2 linked regions of the Canis lupus familiaris genome follow. Each later gene encodes a partner of the first gene's protein in a complex. Links are inferred from orthologs where the notes say so. Each region holds a gene or a part of one and is shown on either strand. Other genes may lie near its edges.

Region 1 (3,900 bases):
GTCGAGGGCCTTCACAGCCTGTGGAGTGAGTGTGCTGCCTAGTACCAGAACTGCAAAGCTGGGCTGATGGCTCTGAGGGCCGAGCTTTGGGGTGGGTGCACACAGCTGCCTCTGGGCTGGGAACAACCAAGTGCAGCAGCGTTTCATTAGCATGGAAACGTCAGAGGGGGAAGCACTACCCCAGAATGGGTCCCTGATTGGTGCCAACTTCCAGGATCATCTCCAGTAGTACTTGTACCTGTTTCAGCTGCATCCTCTACCCAGCTGGCCCCCATTTTTCCTTGAACTGGATGACGCAGGAGCTCTGCCTGCTGCCGGGAGTGAAAGGTGAAGAACTGGTTTCCCAGCTCCAGCTGAGGCTCTTGGTCCACTCCAAGCCTCTCACCAAATCCAAGCCAGTGACAGGAGAATGAAGGAGAAACCTGCCTGCAACACCCACCCTCCAGGGAGATTAATACACTTCTGGGCCAGGAGCCACAACCACATCATTCTGAGATTACTGCGGTCCCCCCACATCTCACACACCCTAAAGGAATTTCAAGTTACAGAGAACCACCAGCATACTGAGAGCTGACCCTAGAACTTTGGCAGGCTGGAGAGGGGAAAAGGAAGGAGAACGTATGTCTTTTCTAGGCCAGCATTTTACTATTTCCTCTCTCCCTGGCCTCTGTTCAGCTGGTGGTCTCAGTTGCATCTCCACTGCCCAGCTGACAGTGAATGTATTTCCGGCACAGCACTTCAGGGGTGGGTGGGGAGGTTGTGAAGACAATTGCTTGCCAAAGCTGGATAAACGCACACTGTCAATTGACTTCTTGGAAGGATGCATAGGTTGGAAGTTCATTTATATCACAAGTGTTTGTGGAGTTATTGGCACATGCCAGGCCGAGTTCCTGAGCCAGGAGCTGGAGAAAAAAGGATGAATTAGTCAAGGTCCTTGCTCTCTCGGGGTTGACATTCTAGTTTTCTGTTGCCCGGCAATCTATAGACAAGAAAGGGTATCTATCCGGCGCTGGCAGAGGCCGGGCTGAGACTTCAGTACTGGCTGTGTGCGGCTAGGGCTCCGTGAACGGCCACTGACCACCCCGCTCCGGGAGAGTCGGGTCGCCCGCTGCTCGGAAGCCCTTCGTGTGCGGCCCCCTCCCGTGTTCCTCCCGGAGTCCCGGGCTGCGGCAGCCTGCTCTCGGCTCCGGCGCTCGCCCCGGAGGTGCTGGCGGAGCGACGGAACGGAGGGGGCAGGCGGCGGGGCGGGCCGACGCGGGGCGGGCTGGACGAGCGCGGGTCTCGGCAGGCCCGGGAGAGGCCGAGCCCCGCCCCCGGCGCGGCTGTGGCCCGGTGCGCACGCGCAGCGGCCGCGCTCCCCGGCGGCTCCGCCCACCACCGCGGACGTCGGCGGCGCGCGACGTAGTTCGCAGCATAAATGCGGCGGCGCCGGCGGTAGGAGCGCTTCGGCCCGGGCGCCCGGGTGTTCGCGCGTTCGGCGGAGTTCGGCCCGCGCCTGAGCCGGCCTCGCTTCTCGCTGCGCCATGGCGGACGAGGGGAAGGCCTACAACGGTCAGTGCTGGTCGTCAGGCGGGGGCGAGGCGATCGGGGGCCCGGTGGGCGGCGCCGGTGTAGGCCGCAGCCCCGCGGCGGGAGGGGCGGGAGGCGCGGGAGGCGCGGGAGGCGCGGGAGGGGCGGCGGCGCGGGAGGGGCGGGGGCGAGGCCGAGGCCGCCTGCGGGTCGGGCCGCACTCGAGCGGGGCGCCGGCCGTGTTGACGCGGGAATCGTGGCGTTGCGCGGAGCTTCGGCCCGGGGCTGCGGCCTGGCCGGGGGGGGGCGATTCCTTTGAACTTTGTGGGTGGTGATGCCTGTCAGTTGGATTTGGCGCCCGGACTCTGCCTTTAATAGGAGTCCGTGCCCGGCTCATCGGCTCCCTGTGTCGTTTCCCACCGCGTCCGGTCTCTTGTCCCGCGTCCCCTGCGGCCTTGGCTTTGGCTTTAGTATTCTAGACTTCCACACCGGTTCGCTGTGCTCGCCCGAACACTACGCACGGTTTTAGTCCGGAGGAGTGGTGAGGAGGAGCACATGACAGCCGGGTTGAGTCCTGAGTCGTCTTCCCCGAGCTTGAGGGAATTCCACTCCCAGGCCTCATTTTCTATCTCCGTAGGAGGTGGTGACCGTACTTACTTCCTGGGTTTGCCCTCCTGTTCAACGAGATCATTCGTATCAAGTGCCCGGGGCATAGTGCCTGGCACTGAAGAAAGTTCTCAGTGAATGTTTGCTGCGCCTTATATTCAGTTGTGGTGTTTTGTTTTGTTTTTTGCCCTCCCCCCCGCCCCCCGTCATTTCTTAAGGTTCATTGTTTGCAGAACACTAGGCATGAGGCGTTTGGGGAGTCAGGGACCTTTTTGTAAGATGCTATTCTTACACCCCAGGATTCAGAGGGTCATGTTCCAGGGGAGCAGTCCAGGACCCTTGGCTAAGCTCCCTAGTTGCCACTAGAACCTGAATCTTAGGAGTTGTCTCCTAAGTTAAAAAAGCATTTTTTGCCAAGGAAATAAACAGCTCATTCCCAAAAGTTCAGAGTGGCAGTTTGAGAACAAGAATTTTAAAGAAGCCCTTAATTTTATTTGTAACTGACGCTTGTACTCTGCGCAAGGGAAGCTTTGTTTACTGAGAGCTGATGTGATCGTCGTGATTGGTTGATTTAGGAGATGTTGAGCGAGGTCACCATCCAAGTTTTGAGAAGGCTTAAATAGATTTGGGAAACTAAGAGCAAGCAGATTTCAGGTGACTTTTCAGGGGTCTAGTTCCACACTGGGTCCATATTCTACTCACACTTCCACATTGTGCCTTTCCCGGTCTGTAAGTTCCAGTTCCTGAGTCCTTTTTCTAAAGCCCTGCCCTGTCTTCCAGTGATGTTTCGCTCCTGCTGCCATGCCACAGAGAGGGTTCTCCTCTCAACAGACAGAAGTTTGCATGGAGGTGGGCTCTGTAGTTGGTGTGTATCTCATTTGATAGCACAGGCTGCTTGCTACTGTGATTCCCACAGCAGGGTAGCTGGGCTGACAGCATGTTTCTAATGGATGTCCTTTTTAACCCCAGAGCATGATGACCGTGTTAGTTTCCCTCAAAGAAGAAAGAAAGGCCGGGGTCCTTTCCGGTGGAAGTATGGCGAGGGGAACCGGAGGTCTGGAAGAGGAGGTTCTGGCATTCGGTCTTCCCGCCTGGAGGAAGATGACAGAGATGTGGCAATGAGTGATGCCCAGGATGTTCCCCGAATACGACAGTAAGCGACCAATTGATCTGGTTTGAGAGCTCAAACCAGATTTATTTATATAGCTTTCTGCTGCCCACACCATTTCCCTTCTCACCTGGAAAAGTGAGGGATGTCAGGGCCAGTTTAATGGTTAAATAGTTTTAGCTATAATCCTGACAACAGTGTGGGAAGCCTTTGAGAAGACATTCCTAGTGTTTGCGGACATTTTATTCTCTGCTTCCCCACAGCAACCCCTATCCTCCCCGACCCAACCGTCGAGGTGACAGTTGGCATGATCGAGATCGCATTCATGTTACTGTGCGGAGAGACAGAATTCTTCCAGAGAGAGGAGGGGCTGGCACCAGCCAGGATGGGACCTCGAAGAACTGGTTTAAGATTACAGTGAGTGTCTGGGGTGCCTGGGTGGCTCAGTCAGTTTAGTGTCTGTCCTACACTTGATTTCATCTCAGGTCATGATCTCAAGGTCATGAGATCAAGCCCCACGTCACCTCTGTGCTGGGCATGGAGCCAGCTTGAGATTCCTATTCTTTCTCTTCCTCCCTCCTCCTCTCCCATTCCCTCTCCCCTCCCCCCTCCCCCTAAAAAGAGATTACACTGAGTGTCTGGGGAAGTAGATGGTGCAAGGGAGATAGGGGGCTGGG
Region 2 (3,900 bases), on another chromosome or scaffold:
GAGCACCCAGCCGAGAGCCCTCCTCGGGCGAGCTCCACGTGGTGGGGAGGAGCACCCAGCCGAGACCCCTCCTCGGGCAGAGCTCCACGTGGTGGGGGGGAGCACCCAGCCGAGACCCCTCCTCGGGCAGAGCTCCACGTGGTGGGGGGGAGCACCCAGCCGAGAGCCCTCCTCGGGCGAGCTCCACGTGGTGGGGAGGAGCACCCAGCCGAGACCCCTCCTCGGGCAGAGCTGCACGTGGTGGGGGGAGCACCCAGCCGAGAGCCCTCCTCGGGCAGAGCTGCACGTGGTGGGGGGGGGAGCACCCAGCCGAGACCCCTCCTCGGGCAGAGCTGCACGTGGTGGGGGGGAGCACCCAGACGAGACCCCTCCTCGGGCGAGCTCCACGTGGTGGGGGGAGCACCCAGCCGAGAGCCCTCCTCGGGCAGAGCTCCACGTGGTGGGGGGGAGCACCCAGCCGAGACCCCTCCTCGGGCGAGCTCCACGTGGTGAGGAGGAGCACCCAGCCGAGGCCCCTCCTCGGGCAGAGCTCCACGTGGTGGGGGGAGCACCCAGCCGAGAGCCCTCCTCGGGCAGAGCTGCACGTGGTGGGGGGGGGAGCACCCAGCCGAGACCCCTCCTCCGGCAGAGCTGCACGTGGTGGTGGGGGGAGCACCCAGCCGAGACACCTCCTCGGGCAGAGCTCCACGTGGTGAGGAGGAGCACCCAGCCGAGACCCCTCCTCGGGCAGAGCTCCACGTGGTGGGGGGGAGCACCCAGCCGAGACCCCTCCTCGGGCAGAGCTCCACGTGGTGGGGGGGAGCACCCAGCCGAGACCCCTCCTCGGGCGAGCTCCACGTGGTGGGGAGGAGCACCCAGCCGAGACCCCTCCTCGGGCAGAGCTCCACGTGGTGGGGAGGAGCACCCAGCCGAGACCCCTCCTCGGGCGAGCTCCACGTGGTGGGGGGAGCACCCAGCCGAGAGCCCTCCTCAGGCAGAGCTCCCCAGGGGCTCGGCGGAGTCCGTGTTCCCGGCGCCCCACCTGCCGTGCCTGTGTGAAAGCCTCCGTGGGTCACTGCCTGCTTCTAGTGCTGGCTTTCCGAGATAGCATCAAGTCGTCTATTAATAGAATTTCCCCGACTGCAGGTGAATGGAGGTCATAGGGCAAGAACCTGAGGTCGCCGCACAGACTCCTCCCCATCCTCTCCAGTCCGGCGGCCTCCACTGCGCGGGACACACCTCTCCCGGTTCTTGCTCCGGGGGCGGGACCTGGGATATTTCATCCAATCAAGAAACCCACGTGACCAATCGGACCGGGTCCTATGCCTAGTTAAGCCAATGAAAACCCGACCGCTGATTTTCTGTGGCCTTCTGGGAAAGCGCCTCTCCCGGAAGCCACCGTGTCCTTTGCGCCACACCTGGGCGGGGCCAGCCTCCAGGTCCTCCGTCCGGTTGGCTGACACAGCTGCCTGTCAAGCGGAGGCGGGAGGGGGCGGAGCCGCGGGCACCGGCGTCTGCGCAGCGCGGGGCGGGCCGCGCGCGGGAGGCTGCGGAGGGCGGCTGCGGAGGCGGCTGCGGGTCCCCGGCCGGGCTCAGGGGTCTCGACGACCCTGGTGGGTCCGGGAAGAAGGGTGGCAGAGGGCGGCGCTCCCGGCCCTCCCTGAAGCGAGCGGCGGAGGACCTCCAGCCTGGGCAGGCCCGCCCTGCGACCTCCGTGGAGCCGGGGGCCGTGCGGGGCGAGCCGCCGCCCACGCGGGCCGGGAGACGCCGACCCCGGCGCCGACCCCGGCCCCCGCCGCGCAGGGAGGCCCCCAGAGGCCCCCAGCGTCCCCCGCGGCCCGCAGGCCGACGACCGCAGGCCCGGCCCGGGGGCTCCGGAGACGCCTCCCGCGTGCATCCCCGCCCGTCCGCGTCGTCGGCGCTCGGCCGGGCCCCGCCGCGTCCCTGTGCTGTGCTGGCGGCGCCGCCCCAGGTCAGTACGCCGTGCCCGGCGCTTGGCGGCGGGCTCCGTCGCGGGGGAAGCCGGGGCAGTGCGGCAGGTCCGGGCCGAGGACCCGGCGGGCGGGCGGGCGGGCGGGCGGGTGCGAAGCGCCTGGCGCCGGGATGAGGCCTGTGGCGTGGTCTCTGGTCCAGCGCCTAGGACCTGCCGACGGAGGCCTCGAGGGAAGGCGGCGGCCTCGCGGCCTCGTTCTTAGCTCACTTCCGACGTTTCTTATCCCGGATTGGATGGAGGAGGGGAGCCGTCGGCGCTGTGGGCAGCAGCAGCGCGGGGGAGGAGCCGGTGCCTCCCCTCCGCGCCGGGACCGGTGCTGGGCTGGGCTTGGGAGTCGCCCCGGCCGGTAGAGCAGGGGTGGGCAGGGCGCCCGCGGAACGACTCGAGGCTGCGGAGGGCCCGGCGCGCCGGGGAGCCCCGTGGGGTCAGGGGCCGGGCCCTGGAGGGGAGCTTCAAGCCAGCGGCAGGCCCCGAGCGGTGCTCTCAGAGACTCGACTTCCTACCTGCAGGGACGCGCAGGGTGACAAGGGAAGGACAGCGGAGGCCTGACGTTTTCAGAGGCCACCAGCATTCTTAGGAAGGTAAATCAGGCGCGTGCTTGCCGTCAGACCGTGATCCAACCCCTGTCTCCCTTCTCATTTTTAAGATTGTGTGTCCTTTTGTGGTGACCGTCGAAGGAGGTGATGTATTCAAAGTAGGCGGCAGATACCCAGCTCGCAACCTGTCCGCTGAGGCTTGACTCTGGGTCCAAAGGGGGAGTGCAGAGACCTCGGGCTGTGTCTGCTCCTCTCTCTCCTCATTTCTAGGACTGAGCTCCTTGCCTGCTCTTTACAGTTCTTTACTCCAGGGCAGAGGCCTCCTCCTTGTGCACCCTCCTCTTTCCCAACTCTTTGAAATCTTTTCTCTATTTCATGAGCTGATATTTAAAAAAAGAAGTTAAGGTCTTTGAAACAAACATTCATTAAGTGTATATCTAAACGTATCCATTATCTTAGTAATAGTCCCGTGAATTTTTTCTTTTATTTAAATATTTCATTTTTAAAAATTTTATTAAAGATTTATTTATTTGAGGAAGAGCACAGGCACGTGCACCTGCACAAGTAGGAGGAGGGGCAGAGGAAGAAGCAGGCTGCCATCTGAGCAGGGAGCAGGCTGGGGCTGGGATGGGGCCTGACCCCAGCACCTTGGGATCACAACCAGCCCTGAAGGCAGATGCTTAACCAGCTGAGCCACCCAGGTACCCCACTTCTAGTGAAATATTTTAATGATGCAAAGAAGAGCAGGGAACTGTAACAGTTGTACCATACTTTGAGACTATCAAATAATAATATTTCTTTATGCTTTGGGGCTTTTTTTTTTTTTTTTTTAAGGAAATGTGACATTTCAGCCACAGTTGAGTTTCTTTTTTTTGTTGCCACCACCTCCATCCTCAATCCATACAACTTACGTGATTCTTGTATTTATTTATTTTTGAGATTTTTATTTATTTGAGACGGTGGGGGAGAGAAGCAGAAGGAGAGTAACAAACCAATTCTGCTGCAAGCTCAGAGCTGGATGCAAGGCTGGATCCCATGACCCTGAGATCATGACCTGTGCTGAAATTAAGAGTTGGACACGTAACAAACAGAGCCACCCAGGTGTCCCAGAACTTGCCTTTCCATTTTTAACTTGTCTTTCCATTTTGGCTCACAGAACTTGCCTTGTAGGTATTTGTGCTCATGGAAGCTAGGTGCCCTCCCTTCTCATTCCCAGTAGCTGAAGGTTAGCCGTGTCATGAGGATCTTGACCACTATTTTGGTACCATGCTAGTGACATTTGTTCTCTTATCTTAGAAAACCTGCCTTCTCTTTGCTCTCCCACTATCTGTTGGGTGAGCTCATGATAGGCTTTCATCTTAGACTGTCAGCAGCTGACAAGCATATGCCTTC

Evidence for each region.
Region 2: the proteins of NXF1 (region 1) and NXT1 are in contact, whole or in part, in a crystal structure (PDB 4WYK), measured with the Homo sapiens proteins. The link is inferred for Canis lupus familiaris from reciprocal best matches to the Homo sapiens genes NXF1 and NXT1. Residues at the interface, in NP_006353.2 of Homo sapiens: Ala366, Pro367, Thr368, Thr369, Leu370, Pro371, Pro372, Cys373, Lys374, Gly375, Tyr377, His411, Gly413, Cys415, Cys416, Ser417, Leu418, Ser419, Ile420, Pro421, Phe422, Arg440, Asn441, Val442, Lys443, Lys444, Lys446, Pro448, Thr449, Arg451; in NP_037380.1 of Homo sapiens: Phe6, Lys7, Val10, Asp11, Cys14, Glu18, Thr44, Val46, Trp47, Asn48, Gly49, Asn50, Ala51, Phe61, Met64, Leu65, Pro66, Ile72, Ser73, Val74, Val75, Asp76, Cys77, Gln78, Pro79, Val80, His81, Glu83, Ala84, Thr85.

Annotation. Positions count from the first base shown.
Region 1 is NC_049239.1:54,402,921-54,406,820, forward strand, and holds the start of NXF1 (nuclear RNA export factor 1), read left to right. Parts: upstream 1-1,390; 5' UTR 1,391-1,523; coding exon 1,524-1,551; intron 1,552-3,084; coding exon 3,085-3,268; intron 3,269-3,486; coding exon 3,487-3,640; intron 3,641-3,900.
Region 2 is NC_049245.1:674,359-678,258, reverse strand, and holds the start of NXT1 (NTF2-related export protein 1), read left to right. Parts: upstream 1-1,506; 5' UTR 1,507-1,951; intron 1,952-2,352; exon of another isoform or gene 2,353-2,481; 5' UTR 2,482-2,553; intron 2,554-3,189; exon of another isoform or gene 3,190-3,209; intron 3,210-3,900.